Linked DNA regions of Arabidopsis thaliana. The protein of the gene in region 1 purifies or fractionates together with the protein of each later gene. This does not show direct contact. Each region holds a gene or a part of one and is shown on either strand. Other genes may lie near its edges.

Evidence for each region. The genes of interacting proteins can lie anywhere in the genome.
Region 2: the proteins of RPT5A (region 1) and RBCS1A purify together in Arabidopsis thaliana (affinity purification with western blotting, with the first as the bait; one study listed by BioGRID). This does not show direct contact.
Region 3: the proteins of RPT5A (region 1) and E1 ALPHA purify together in Arabidopsis thaliana (affinity purification with western blotting, with the first as the bait; one study listed by BioGRID). This does not show direct contact.

Annotation. Positions count from the first base shown.
Region 1 is NC_003074.8:1,601,422-1,606,790, reverse strand, and holds RPT5A (regulatory particle triple-A ATPase 5A), read right to left. Parts: upstream 3,433-5,369; 5' UTR 3,252-3,432; coding exon 3,132-3,251; intron 2,782-3,131; coding exon 2,665-2,781; intron 2,564-2,664; coding exon 2,456-2,563; intron 2,351-2,455; coding exon 2,159-2,350; intron 2,080-2,158; coding exon 1,888-2,079; intron 1,710-1,887; coding exon 1,591-1,709; intron 1,504-1,590; coding exon 1,416-1,503; intron 1,322-1,415; coding exon 1,202-1,321; intron 1,116-1,201; coding exon 975-1,115; intron 876-974; coding exon 798-875; 3' UTR 548-797; downstream 1-547. Other genes in the region: AT3G05540 (Methionine sulfoxide reductase (MSS4-like) family protein), read left to right, coding at 1-93, 184-304; CPA (Subunits of heterodimeric actin filament capping protein Capz superfamily), read right to left, coding at 5,354-5,369. UniProt on the Arabidopsis thaliana protein: The 26S proteasome is involved in the ATP-dependent degradation of ubiquitinated proteins. The regulatory (or ATPase) complex confers ATP dependency and substrate specificity to the 26S complex.
Region 2 is NC_003070.9:25,047,658-25,051,522, forward strand, and holds RBCS1A (ribulose bisphosphate carboxylase small chain 1A), read right to left. Parts: upstream 2,011-3,865; 5' UTR 1,593-2,010; coding exon 1,422-1,592; intron 1,316-1,421; coding exon 1,181-1,315; intron 1,045-1,180; coding exon 808-1,044; 3' UTR 501-807; downstream 1-500. UniProt on the Arabidopsis thaliana protein: RuBisCO catalyzes two reactions: the carboxylation of D-ribulose 1,5-bisphosphate, the primary event in carbon dioxide fixation, as well as the oxidative fragmentation of the pentose substrate.
Region 3 is NC_003070.9:22,049,545-22,054,385, forward strand, and holds E1 ALPHA (pyruvate dehydrogenase complex E1 alpha subunit), read left to right. Parts: upstream 1-1,588; 5' UTR 1,589-1,823; coding exon 1,824-2,502; intron 2,503-2,588; coding exon 2,589-2,668; intron 2,669-3,035; coding exon 3,036-3,113; intron 3,114-3,513; coding exon 3,514-3,609; intron 3,610-3,713; coding exon 3,714-3,839; intron 3,840-3,915; coding exon 3,916-3,981; coding exon of another isoform or gene 3,982-3,993; exon of another isoform or gene 3,994-4,015; intron 4,016-4,071; coding exon 4,072-4,116; 3' UTR 4,117-4,341; downstream 4,342-4,841. Other genes in the region: SNL5 (SIN3-like 5), read left to right, coding at 18-156, 264-416, 495-655, 744-858, 950-1,126; AT1G59910 (Actin-binding FH2 (formin homology 2) family protein), read right to left, coding at 4,623-4,841. UniProt on the Arabidopsis thaliana protein: The pyruvate dehydrogenase complex catalyzes the overall conversion of pyruvate to acetyl-CoA and CO(2).

The sequences.
Region 1 (5,369 bases):
CCCTAAGTTGGACTCAGAAAACCAAGAGCTGTTCAAGAAACACATTGAGAGTGCCACCAAATTCTTGATGTCAAAGCTCAAAGACTTCCAATTGTAAGCTCTTCTCTTTTATCTTCTTTCTTCTATTTTTTTTTTGAAGTTAATTTTGTCTAATTGGTGAATTATTTTCAACGAATGTGACAGCTTCGTGGGAGAGAGCATGGAAGGAGAAGAAGGGAGCTTAGTGTTTGCTTACTACAGAGAAGGAGCCACTGATCCTACTTTTCTCTACTTGGCCTACGGCTTGAAAGAGATCAAGTGCTGAATACTTCAAAGCTACAGATTTTATTTTTTTATTTTGGAGTTTTACTTTTTGTTAGTACTTTTGGTTAATCTTGAGAGATTTTTCTATTTCAAGTGAAGTTAACTTTTATGCAATTTCCTTAAATTGAGAGCTTGAAAGGATTAGTGCAACGAAAAAGGCCTGATTAGTTTTAAAAATTCACTTGATATACGTTCAAAATACTATGATATATACAAAATATTAGAGATTGATAAGTGAATTCTCTTAAAAATTTCTGAAAGAAAACATAATTTTAGAATAGGTCTATATACCATGAACCAATACTATAGAGATACTAAGATTTCTAAATTTCCAAACTTGTTTTCAGAAGAAGATGAACACAATTAAATGTATTTTGATATAATAGATGATCCTGATTCGAAAACTTAAAAAGATCCAAATCGGAATGAGGGTACAAGTAAAACTAGTTGAAAGATAAACGGCATTGATAAAAATAAATGATGAGAGAGAGAGATCAGGCGTAGTAGTTCAAGCTTGCTTTCTTCTTGGCCTGGACTTGGATGATACCTTCATTGAAGTCTTCATGGTTCACCTGAACACACAAACACAACAACAGAGAACCCCACCTTAAAAAACAGACCAAACTACACAATCATAAAGCTCAAATCATTAAGAGTTCTGTCTTTTTTACCTCTGTGGCATCACGGCGAAGAGCTAACATGCCTGCCTCTACACACACTGCTTTCAGCTGAGCTCCATTGAAATCATCTGTTGATCGTGCAAGCTCCTCAAAGTTGACGTCTGGGTGGACATTCATCTTCCTTGAGTGAATCTGGATTCATTCAGTTGGGTTAGTTGTGTTATGAGAGCCTTTTACTTATCACCAAGGGTCATGTTTGAAAAATGGGAGAGACAAACCTGCAAGATTCTTGCTCTCGCTTCTTCGGTTGGGTGTGGGAACTCAATCTTTCTGTCTAATCGACCAGAACGCATGAGTGCTGGGTCCAGAATATCTGCACGGTTAGTAGCTGCAATCACCTGAAAAAATAGAAAGGTATGGTTGTTACTGTTTCTTTGAGAACGATTTTTAAGACCAGTATGATTAGTCCTTAGAATGGATAAAGACACTCACCTTAATACGTTCATCGCTACTGAATCCGTCAAGTTGATTGAGCAACTCCAACATAGTCCTCTGCACTTCCCTGTCTCCGCTGACTTCACTGTACTCTCAACCAAAGAATGTGATTTGAGCAAATAGCTGAGAAAGTGCAGAAATACATGAATTGGAATCAGAAAAAGATTTGTACCTGTCGAAACGCTTTGTACCAATGGCATCGATTTCATCTATGAAGATAATGCACGGAGCTTTCTCTTTGGCAAGTTGAAAGGCATCACGGACAAGCTTTGCTCCGTCTCCAATGAACATCTGTATATAAATTGGATATGTCATCATGTCATTACAATCAAGTATCATTATAGCTCGTCACATGTAATTATTGTTGCCAGAACACTAAAATCTTATATCCAGACAGGGTAAAGAGTTCTAAGAGATGAGAATTGAATCTGATACTCATATATATATATATATATATATATATATATACCTGGACCAATTGAGGGCCTGCCAATTTAAGGAAGGTGGCATTGGTCTGTGCTGCGCAGGCACGAGCCATTAAAGTTTTACCAGTCCCTGGGGGACCATACAAGAGCACTCCCTTTGGTGGACGAACACCCAGCTTCTCAAAACGTTCCTTGTGCGTCATGGGAAGCACAATTGCCTCTACAAGCTCTTGGATCTGTTCCAGAAATAAACTCAATTAGTTTCACTACGAAGCAAAGTCAATACAGCAGATTAACACAATGGTATAAACATACCTGCTTCTCTAGTCCTCCAATGTCATTGTAATCTTCAGTTGGTTTTTCATCGACCTCCATGGCTTTAACCCTAGAGTCATACTCGGATGGCAAGGTATCCAAAATCAAGTAGCTATCTTTGTTAACTCCAACCAAGTCACCAGGTTTCAAACTATCAGGATCCACGAGTCCAACAACTGGTAGAAAGATGGTCTGCAGTCCACATAACGAAAACAAAAGTATTTGCTCAGACATGAAACGGGAAACGGAAGAGAAGATGTAGAAAACATATCTAAAGAATGGGTTTGGAAGTCTCACCTGCCGTGTAGACGTTTTCAACACAACACATTTTCCTTTCCGTTGCGAGTCAAGATCAATATTTGCACCATCTTCCTCAGCATCATCTTCTGGATTCATCTCCAAAATCTAATAGCATGATATGGTAACACAACAGTTAGAATTCAAATCAAATAGGTAAGACTCTGTAGGAAAATACCAAAAATAAGATAAGAAAACTAGTTGAATACCTCGACAATGTTGCCAACCAAGTAAGGCAGCTGCTTGTTGAGTTTAATCTTCTCCTGATTCTCCTTAATCTTCTCCTTGTAAGAATCACATTCTAGATTTGTTCTTTGCGCGTCTTCCTAAATCCCCATCAAAGAAAAACACAAGATGAGCAATTTCAACATATCCAATTTGCAACAAGAAAGACGTAGCTTTTCAATTCAATCAATCTCAGTTGAGTTGAAAAATCCAAACTTTGAAAACACACGAAGAAATCACAAGAAGGGTCATAAAATTAAAGGTCTAGTTCATCTCCTGCTTCCACGGATTACACGAAACTCAAACCCTAAACCCGTAATCGCGAAAAATCGAAACCAGATTCGAGCCTGACCTTACTGGAATTAAAGCGATTGATGAAACCAATTTAAGAAGATACAATCATGGAGAACGATATAAAGGCAAAGGAGATCGAGAGAGATATAGGGCAAACCTTGAGAATTCGAATCTCGTTGTCGAGAAGACGAGTAGCTCTAGTGATATCTTCGGTGGACATGGAAGCAAGCTGATCCTCTTCGAAGCTTGACGTATCTTCAACCATAGGAGTTGCCATTTCAATACCCAAATCGGAGAGATAGATCGCCGGGAAGAGAAGAGCAAAGAGTTAGGGATTTCTCAAAGGGAGAGGAGAGGGAGAGCGACTATGAGAGAAAAAAAACCAATAAGGAGAGAAGACGAGAGAAAATAAATAACCAAAAAGAAAAAAGTAAATTATATTAGCTATTAAAAATAAAAAAGAGTTTTCTTAGGAAAACTTGTCTTCAAAGAAATGCATAGGGGAAAACCTCTGAACGAGTTAGAGTCTTCCACATTCTCTCGAACTAACTCAATATAAGACAATTTAAACCCCCCTGACTATAGCTTTCAGATTTACATTCCAATTATGAATGTCTAAATCTACTCTTGAAATTGCAAGAACCTTAATCACAAGAACTGCAACAGAAAGATTTCTTCCAAAAAAACAAACTTTATTAGAAATGCTGTTTTATTTATGTCTCTCATCCGAAATTTAAAAGAAAACCAAAATTCATTAAAACATCATAAACCTTTACAAATTCTTGTCATATATTCGAGCGTTAAGTAAACATATATATGCTCAAAACTCAATCATAAATGACAAGTAATGCCTCGGAATCTAAAAAAAACAATAATCAACAACAGAAAAGTAGTAGCATTAAACAAGCTTTTTTTGTAGCTAAGTCAGCATTGGTTGTGATAGTGGAGCCATCTTCATATAGCAAAACGATGACGTTCACGGGAGTTGGCGGGATGTATGCAATTTCAAGAGTAGTGATTCCCATAGGGATCACATTTATTGTGCAGTATCATTCGGCTAGATCTGAGGCGAAAAAGCAGGAGGATGAAAGTGATCACTGAAGACGTCCAAAGTCAGCAATATGCGATTATGAAATCAGGTAAAATTATATTTGTATTAGATGACTACCCACGCTACGCGTGGGTTTGTTTTAAAAATTGTTAAAAAAAAATTACATTGATTGTTCTTTATGCTAATTTATATTTATTATTTGTTTATTTTTGTATTATTAATAAAATTAGATCCATAATATGTAGTGATAATTTTTATGGTTAGATTCATTTGTGATTTGAAATATCAATTTATATATTTTGTCTATAAAGCTAATTATTTATAAGATTTTAATATTTTTTCACTAAATGAATACATATAACAACAATAATGATATTTTGATACAATTCTGTGTAACTATGTTATGTTTGTAGTTTAAAATTTTCCTAACTCGATTATAAATAAATCAATTCCTTGTTTTATGTACTTCAACAATATTGTGATAGACTCATGATTAAAGTTTGGATTGACATCAACTGAAAAAGATCTGAAGACTATTCGTACAAAAAAATAAAAAAATAGCAAAAATTGAATGTCATTGAAGTCAATACTTTTGGATATTTTGTCATTGCATATATCAATATTTAATAAATGATTGTGTCTTGGATGATTTGAAAATTGTTCAACTTGATTATAAATAAGAAGGTGGAGGAAATGGGTAATTACGTATGCTTTTGTTTATTTTTAGACGATGGAAGATACTTAGTTGTTTGTGTGTGTATCAGGAGGAAGGAGACCATCTCTGGACGTGGAAAACTCGAAGATGATTTGCAAGAAATTTGTGAGCCTCAACTATGACTAGTGCTCATGCTTGGAACTGAAACTATTTCTTTTAGTATATATCTAGTAATTGCTAGCTTATCACTCTTTAGACATTTTGCACCATCGTTTTGGGCATGGGACCAATATCTGATCAATATTCAAAAGTGGTTTTTGTAATGACTTTAACTTAAGGATTTTAATTTAATCATGATTCAGGATATATCAGCATCGTCTTAACAAATTAAAACAAAGCTTTCTAACCGAGGTGAACACAAAATTAATGGAGGTGATTGACAATTGAATTAAGAACAAGGATGGGGACAACGCATTATCATTAAAAACAAACGTGATTAGATTATCACTACAAACGTGATTAGATTACCACCCGGGGCCTAAGACTTTCACCATGGGCCTCTATTATTGGGCTTTCCTTTCAAATTGTGCTCTCTTTTTTTTTTTTTGCTTTTTTTTTATTAACAGATTATTTAAGGAAATCTTTATCATTCATATTAAAGTTTAATACATATTTAGTTCTTTAACAGT
Region 2 (3,865 bases), on another chromosome or scaffold:
TCAATCTTTCTGTGGTATTTGAGCATTTCGATGTTTTCGATGGTGACCAAAACCTTTTGGTAAACAATATGTATAATTCTTGAGATTAAATGGTACAAAAATTATTAAAAAGGGGTAAAAATCGTTTAAAATATTTCAAAACTTTACACTATATCAGTAACTAATTAGGAAAAAATTAAAAAAAAAAATGAAAGAAAATTTTGAGTTTTTACGACCCACACATAGCTTATCCTATTTCGAAAGTACCTAAACAAACGACTCCAAAATATCTTTATGTGAATTTGGGTCAAGTCCCTTTGATTGAGGAAATATATGATCCACAAGATCCTTGAATATACTTGGTAAAAATGAATATTCGAGACTCTTATCCAGAATCCTATCCTAAACAAGGCACGTCCACTTATGTATCCATCACTAGATTTCAAGTGGGTCATCTTTTGCTTCAAGATATTGTTACTCTAAACCTCTCAAGCTCGTTAATCATGTGACAAGAATTGAATGTGAAACTAATTTTCTTAATGATTTCTTTAGCGACTCATGGTTCTTAAACTTGTAAATTTCATATTTGTAGCCGCATTGTCCTATTTTCTTTTTGTTGATATGCATATCAAATTGAAAGACTTATAGAACATTACATATTTATTTCATCAGACAGTTGAGAATCCGATAGAATATGTCTCGCAAACCGGAAAACAAACGTTAAGTCCGGAAATTAAAACCCAAGAAAGAAGAAAAAAGCAGAAAAACAAGGGATAAAATCAAAGATGGGGGATAAAGTTTTGAGGTTTACACAAAAGCAAAGGGAAATTAACCGGTGAAGCTTGGTGGCTTGTAGGCAATGAAACTGATGCACTGGACTTGACGGGTGTTGTCGAATCCGATGATCCTAATGAAGGCATTGGGGTACTCCTTCTTGCACTCTTCCACTTCCTTCAACACTTGAGCGGAGTCGGTGCAACCGAACAAGGGAAGCTTCCACATTGTCCAGTACCGTCCATCATAGTATCCGGGTGAGTTACCGTGCTCACGGTACACAAATCCGTGCTATACAAACCACATGTTACAAACCACTCAGATAACATTTTGAACATGTTTATATAAATCAAGATCCTAATATATTAAACCAAATTTTCCTAAGATCTAGCTAGTTTATATAGATGTTTAAATTTTGTTTAATTACCTCCAACTCGAATTCAACACAAGGAATCCACTTGTTGCGGATAAGGTAGTCAACTTCCTTAGCCAATTCGGAATCGGTAAGGTCAGGAAGGTAAGAGAGAGTCTCAAACTTCTTCTTTCCAATCGGAGGCCACACCTATTTTTTCGATTTTTCCAATGATATTAGTTTATGTAGATTCGAAGAAAGAACCGAAAAAAATCATATGGAATAATAAAAAAGTGAAAGAAGAAATATAAATGACCTGCATGCAGTTAACTCTTCCGCCGTTGCTTGTGATGGAAGTAATGTCGTTGTTAGCCTTGCGGGTGGCTGGGAAGGCAGCGGAGGACTTAAGTCCGTTGAAAGGAGCGACCATAGTGGCCTGAGCCGGAGAGGCAACCATAGTAGCGGAAGAGAGCATAGAGGAAGCCATTGTTCTTCTTTACTCTTTGTGTGACTGAGGTTTGGTCTAGTGCTTTGGTCATCTATATATAATGATAACAACAATGAGAACAAGCTTTGGAGTGATCGGAGGGTCTAGGATACATGAGATTCAAGTGGACTAGGATCTACACCGTTGGATTTTGAGTGTGGATATGTGTGAGGTTAATTTTACTTGGTAACGGCCACAAAGGCCTAAGGAGAGGTGTTGAGACCCTTATCGGCTTGAACCGCTGGAATAATGCCACGTGGAAGATAATTCCATGAATCTTATCGTTATCTATGAGTGAAATTGTGTGATGGTGGAGTGGTGCTTGCTCATTTTACTTGCCTGGTGGACTTGGCCCTTTCCTTATGGGGAATTTATATTTTACTTACTATAGAGCTTTCATACCTTTTTTTTACCTTGGATTTAGTTAATATATAATGGTATGATTCATGAATAAAAATGGGAAATTTTTGAATTTGTACTGCTAAATGCATAAGATTAGGTGAAACTGTGGAATATATATTTTTTTCATTTAAAAGCAAAATTTGCCTTTTACTAGAATTATAAATATAGAAAAATATATAACATTCAAATAAAAATGAAAATAAGAACTTTCAAAAAACAGAACTATGTTTAATGTGTAAAGATTAGTCGCACATCAAGTCATCTGTTACAATATGTTACAACAAGTCATAAGCCCAACAAAGTTAGCACGTCTAAATAAACTAAAGAGTCCACGAAAATATTACAAATCATAAGCCCAACAAAGTTATTGATCAAAAAAAAAAAACGCCCAACAAAGCTAAACAAAGTCCAAAAAAAACTTCTCAAGTCTCCATCTTCCTTTATGAACATTGAAAACTATACACAAAACAAGTCAGATAAATCTCTTTCTGGGCCTGTCTTCCCAACCTCCTACATCACTTCCCTATCGGATTGAATGTTTTACTTGTACCTTTTCCGTTGCAATGATATTGATAGTATGTTTGTGAAAACTAATAGGGTTAACAATCGAAGTCATGGAATATGGATTTGGTCCAAGATTTTCCGAGAGCTTTCTAGTAGAAAGCCCATCACCAGAAATTTACTAGTAAAATAAATCACCAATTAGGTTTCTTATTATGTGCCAAATTCAATATAATTATAGAGGATATTTCAAATGAAAACGTATGAATGTTATTAGTAAATGGTCAGGTAAGACATTAAAAAAATCCTACGTCAGATATTCAACTTTAAAAATTCGATCAGTGTGGAATTGTACAAAAATTTGGGATCTACTATATATATATAATGCTTTACAACACTTGGATTTTTTTTTGGAGGCTGGAATTTTTAATCTACATATTTGTTTTGGCCATGCACCAACTCATTGTTTAGTGTAATACTTTGATTTTGTCAAATATATGTGTTCGTGTATATTTGTATAAGAATTTCTTTGACCATATACACACACACATATATATATATATATATATATTATATATCATGCACTTTTAATTGAAAAAATAATATATATATATATAGTGCATTTTTTCTAACAACCATATATGTTGCGATTGATCTGCAAAAATACTGCTAGAGTAATGAAAAATATAATCTATTGCTGAAATTATCTCAGATGTTAAGATTTTCTTAAAGTAAATTCTTTCAAATTTTAGCTAAAAGTCTTGTAATAACTAAAGAATAATACACAATCTCGACCACGGAAAAAAAACACATAATAAATTTGAATTCTGACAGTGAACTCTACTTTTGAATTCTAATTATAGAGTGAAGAATCTTGATAGATGAAAGCCATAAACATGTTTGTCGAAACTAGAAAGTACCCACATATCATAATAAGATGTTTCTAATTCCACTTTGAGACTCAGTCAAACAGTTAATATCTTGGACAATAAGAATTTGTTGACCAATAATCCTATATTACAAGAAGCCTTCTATTATTTTAATCAAAACATTGAAGCTCAAGCTCCTCGTAAGGTAAAGAGCCCACAAAATTCCGAAAACCATGGAAAACGCGAGTCCCTGGGTTTGCATTATATTTTCTATATTTGTTTTTCTTTTCTCCTAAAATTATGGAAGTGATTGGAAGATACAAGAGGTTTTGTCCAAACAATTTAAACTCGACGACTAAAAACGTAGGATGACGCGATACACACGCGCGGCCATATGCATGCAAACCCCTATATTTCTTTTTAAAGTTTTTGGCTCTTTCCACATTTTTAAAAATAAAAATATTTTTGGACATTTTTGCATGGCATCTTCACCTATCTCTC
Region 3 (4,841 bases), on another chromosome or scaffold:
GATATTTGAAAGCTTAGGTTCATGGAAGCCCTTTACAATTTACTTGATGGCTCTAGCGACAATACAAAGTTTGAAGATGAATGTCGAGCTATTATCGGAGCACAATCATATGTTCTCTTCACATTGGACAAGCTAGTTCAAAAGTTTGTTAAGCATGTAAGCTTCCATTTTACCTTGTTATCGTCTTGACTCTGCTTCTGTTCTCTCTCCTTTATTTTTGTTTGCTCCGCACTAATCATTTAAGTGGCTTGGACATGCTTCAGCTTCACGCAGTCGCAGCTGATGAGACAGACACCAAGCTTCTGCAGCTATATGCATACGAGAACTACAGAAAACCAGGAAGATTCTTTGATATAGTGTACCATGAGAATGCTCGAGCCCTTCTCCATGATCAGAACATATACAGGATTGAATATGTATGCTTCTCTTGATATGTGTGGATACCTGTTTATATGTTCCCATATACTAATCTGTATTTGCAAATTTCTGTGCAGTCATCTGCCCAAACCCGTCTCGGAATTCAACTTATGAACAGCTGGAATGATCAGCCTGAAGTTACAGCTGTAACAGTGGAACCAGGTTTTGCTAATTATCTGCAGAATGACTTTCTTTCGTTTGTCAGTGATGAAGAGAAACCCGGACTATTTCTGAAAAGGTGAATGAAGCAATGATTAGAGCATAACCTTTTTTCGTCTTCAGTTGTGGTAGTACAGTTAGTAATCACCTTAGCATACTCTTTTCAGGAACAAGGCAAAATTAAGTGGTCCGGGTGAAGAATCTCTAGGGATGTCACGTGCCTTGGAAGGATTGAACATTATCAATGAGGTTGAATGTAAGATAGCTTGCAGTTCTTTCAAGGTAAAATACTTTCTTGTGAATCTCTTGCACTGATAATCTTTTCTCTTTTCACATGTATATATGATTGATGAGAGTTTACAATCTTCATTAGGTCAAGTATGAACCACACACAGCAGATCTTTTATATAGAAGAAAGCAGAAGAAAGCAACACTGAATCCAACTGGACCTGAAAATGTTAAAACCTCTGATAGTAGTGAACTCTCGAGAAAGAAACGAATATCGCGCTTTCACATGAGTCTTAACCGCAGACTTGTCGCCTTGCCTTAACTCAAGAACGCCGTAAGTAACCCTCTTGTCTTTTATTTGCCTGTGGTGATCAATACTGCAAATCATCAATAATCTCTAACTCACGATAAATTGTGCAGGTGTGAAGTTCTTTGCTGAGAATGAGATATGCAAGAATGAGTAGTAGTAGAGAGAGACTAGAGAATAACTGTCTTTGACAAAGATTCTTGCATCATTTTAGGCTCAAAGAGATTCACATGGCAACAACCATAGTTTTTATCTTCTACAGTCTACACTGCAGCTGGAGCCGCCAGTTTTGCTGTATAGTGTTAGAATATCTTTTTTTTTTTTAAGGATGATGCTAAAATTGGATATTTTTAATTCATTCATTGAACAATTATTGAATTTTCCTTCTAATGTTAAATTCTCTTTCAAATTAATAATCTCTTTAATCACATGTTTTATTTATTTATTTTGGTTTATCCATTTGGTTATTTATCTTTAATCACATTTGAGTTTGATTATATAATATGATTTTAAGAGAATATGAATATATATTGACTCTTTTATCACAGGTGTCACGTGACTCACGTGAGGCTGTGTACGGAAAACCTTCTTATCCTCTCAGAGTCTCTTATATTAGGATCGCTATCTACTGCTTCACTGAAATTGTCCTCTCAGTTCCTACGCGAAGTTTTCAACAGATTCGCCGGAGAATCTTCGAATCAACGGCGGAGAAATGGCTCTATCACGCCTCTCATCACGATCCAACATCATCACTCGTCCCTTCTCCGCCGCCTTCAGCCGATTAATCTCAACGGACACAACTCCGATCACAATCGAGACTTCGCTTCCTTTCACAGCTCACTTATGTGATCCACCGTCACGCTCCGTCGAATCATCGAGTCAAGAGCTTCTCGATTTCTTCAGAACCATGGCGTTGATGCGACGTATGGAAATCGCAGCCGATTCGCTTTACAAAGCGAAGCTAATCCGAGGGTTTTGTCATCTCTACGACGGCCAAGAAGCTGTAGCTATAGGCATGGAAGCTGCGATTACAAAGAAAGACGCGATTATTACTGCTTATCGTGATCACTGTATTTTCTTAGGTCGTGGTGGTTCGCTTCATGAGGTTTTCTCAGAGCTTATGGGAAGACAAGCTGGTTGTTCTAAAGGGAAAGGTGGATCTATGCACTTCTATAAGAAGGAATCGTCGTTTTACGGTGGTCATGGGATTGTTGGTGCTCAGGTTCCATTAGGTTGTGGTATTGCTTTTGCTCAGAAGTATAACAAGGAAGAGGCTGTCACATTTGCTTTGTATGGTGATGGTGCTGCGAATCAGGGACAGTTGTTTGAAGCTTTGAATATTTCTGCTCTTTGGGATTTGCCTGCAATTTTGGTCTGCGAGAACAATCACTGTAAGCATTTTTGCTTCTTTCTTTCTTTCTTTCTTTCTTTGTAGGTTTGTTTTGTCGTAGTATCTGATTGAATTTGATCTGTGCAGATGGAATGGGAACTGCTGAATGGAGAGCCGCTAAGAGTCCATCTTACTACAAGCGTGGTGATTATGTTCCTGGACTCAAGGTCAGCTTTTGAATCTTATTTGTAACAAGGATTGATGTGTGAGGCTTGTTAAGATGAGAAAGGGAAGTTTTGATTGGGTAGATGGATTAGTGTCATTTCCTGAATGATATAAGTTTCTTAGTTTCCATATAGAAACAGGTAGAATGCAAGTCTTAAGTAACTTACTACTACTCAGCTTTCATTTATAACCTCTCAGTTTAGAGATGAATGTGACTGTCTTATGGATAATGATTGTCATGAATCTTCTATTGTTAACAGAGATATGGTGTGCATCATTACCTTGTTCTTATTAGGTTTCTTGTAACCTGCATCAAGTTAGCAACTTTCTTTTGAGTTTGACCGGTTGCTGGTTTGTATGGATAAACAGGTAGATGGTATGGATGCATTTGCTGTCAAACAAGCTTGCAAATTTGCTAAGCAGCATGCGTTGGAGAAGGGGCCAATAGTAAGTTTGTATTTTAGTATTATCAGACGTTTTGTTTTTTTCCCCTTTGGTCCTTACTCATCTGGCGCATTTTGTAAATTTGCTATGAGCAATATCTAGCTGTCCTGTAGGACGTGAAGTATTAATCTTTCCTTTTGCATTTTTTAGTTGATATTTACTTCCCTTCAGTTCCTCTTTTTGGACACTGCATTCCAGTAGCTGAATATTGATGGGGTGGCTGGTTCTTTCTGTGCAGTTGCAATAGAAATTACGCTGTATCAGTGTATATCAAAGAAGTGTGTTTTTGATATCGCTGTTGTTCATATAAGTAGTAGCTTTGGTTTCCAATTTATTTTCCTGTGTTTATTCTTTCCTATCATATGGATTACAGAAGCATTAATACATCGTTTCTTCTATACAGATTCTTGAGATGGACACATACAGGTACCACGGTCACTCCATGTCTGATCCTGGGAGCACATACCGTACCCGAGATGAGATATCTGGTGTGAGGCAGGTTCGTTAGTCTCTTTACCTGAAAAATCATTTCTTGGTCGAGGACTCAGCTATTGATGAAATCTCAAAAGTCAAAACATTTATGTGCTACTCTATATGACTCAGGAACGGGATCCAATTGAGAGAATAAAGAAGCTGGTACTATCTCATGACCTAGCAACCGAGAAAGAGCTTAAGGATATGGAGAAGGAAATTAGAAAAGAAGTAGATGACGCCATTGCCAAAGCTAAGGTAAAACAACAGTTACATTACTACTTTCAAAGCGTAAACTCGAGACCCTTATGCGAAAATCTCTGTACCGTTTCAGGATTGCCCAATGCCAGAGCCTTCTGAGCTCTTTACCAATGTGTATGTGAAGGGATTTGGCACCGAGGTACTTCACTAATTAGATATTCATATTGCACCACGCCCCTTGAAACTATAGTTAATCTTTCTTATTGACCCATTTGTTTTCTGTTGGCAGTCATTTGGACCTGACAGAAAAGAAGTCAAAGCTTCCCTTCCATGATCATGGAGCTCTTGTTCGTTAAACTGCCACGTGTCATGAGAAAGTTGGCTGATAGAGAAATCTATGAATATGAATAAAGATCTGATTGTATACTCTCTCTCTCCCCCCCCTTCTGAACTTTAATCTCTCTGTATCTTTGTTTACAAACATAAGGAGAAACAATGTTATTCTTGTGAAGCTTTAGTAGTCTCGTGTTTAATATTCAAGCAATCGAGTTGAGATCTCATTTTGTGCTGCACTCCAAATAATATAACAAATTGAATTACAAACAAAGGCCAGTGGAATGGTTTCTTCTGTTTGTATTCTTCGTCTTTCCCAAAAAAAAAAAAGAATTCAACTTTGGCGTAACCAATCCATGAACCCGAAAAAAAAAAATCAACAAAACAGGTAAAATTGAAAGAACCATCTTCAAAGAACCTAATGAATATTTTTACCAACAAGCTCCCCTATCATTCTGTATATACATAATAACAAATGTAAATGATATTTTTTTGCTTTTCTGGTTATCAAGATTCTGAGTCTGAGTCACTTGAACTGCTGTACCTTGAACTCTCTGACATGAAATTTGGAGGCAGAATTGGAAATCTAACTGCGTTCCTTTGCGGTGCAGCAGCAACGCTCGGAGTTTCTGCTGGTGAACTTGATGCTCCTGCTACTGTTGTTGCAGGTCGTTGTTGCTGTTGTTTCCGTTGATTCCTTGCGATCTCACTACATGCATTATCAAC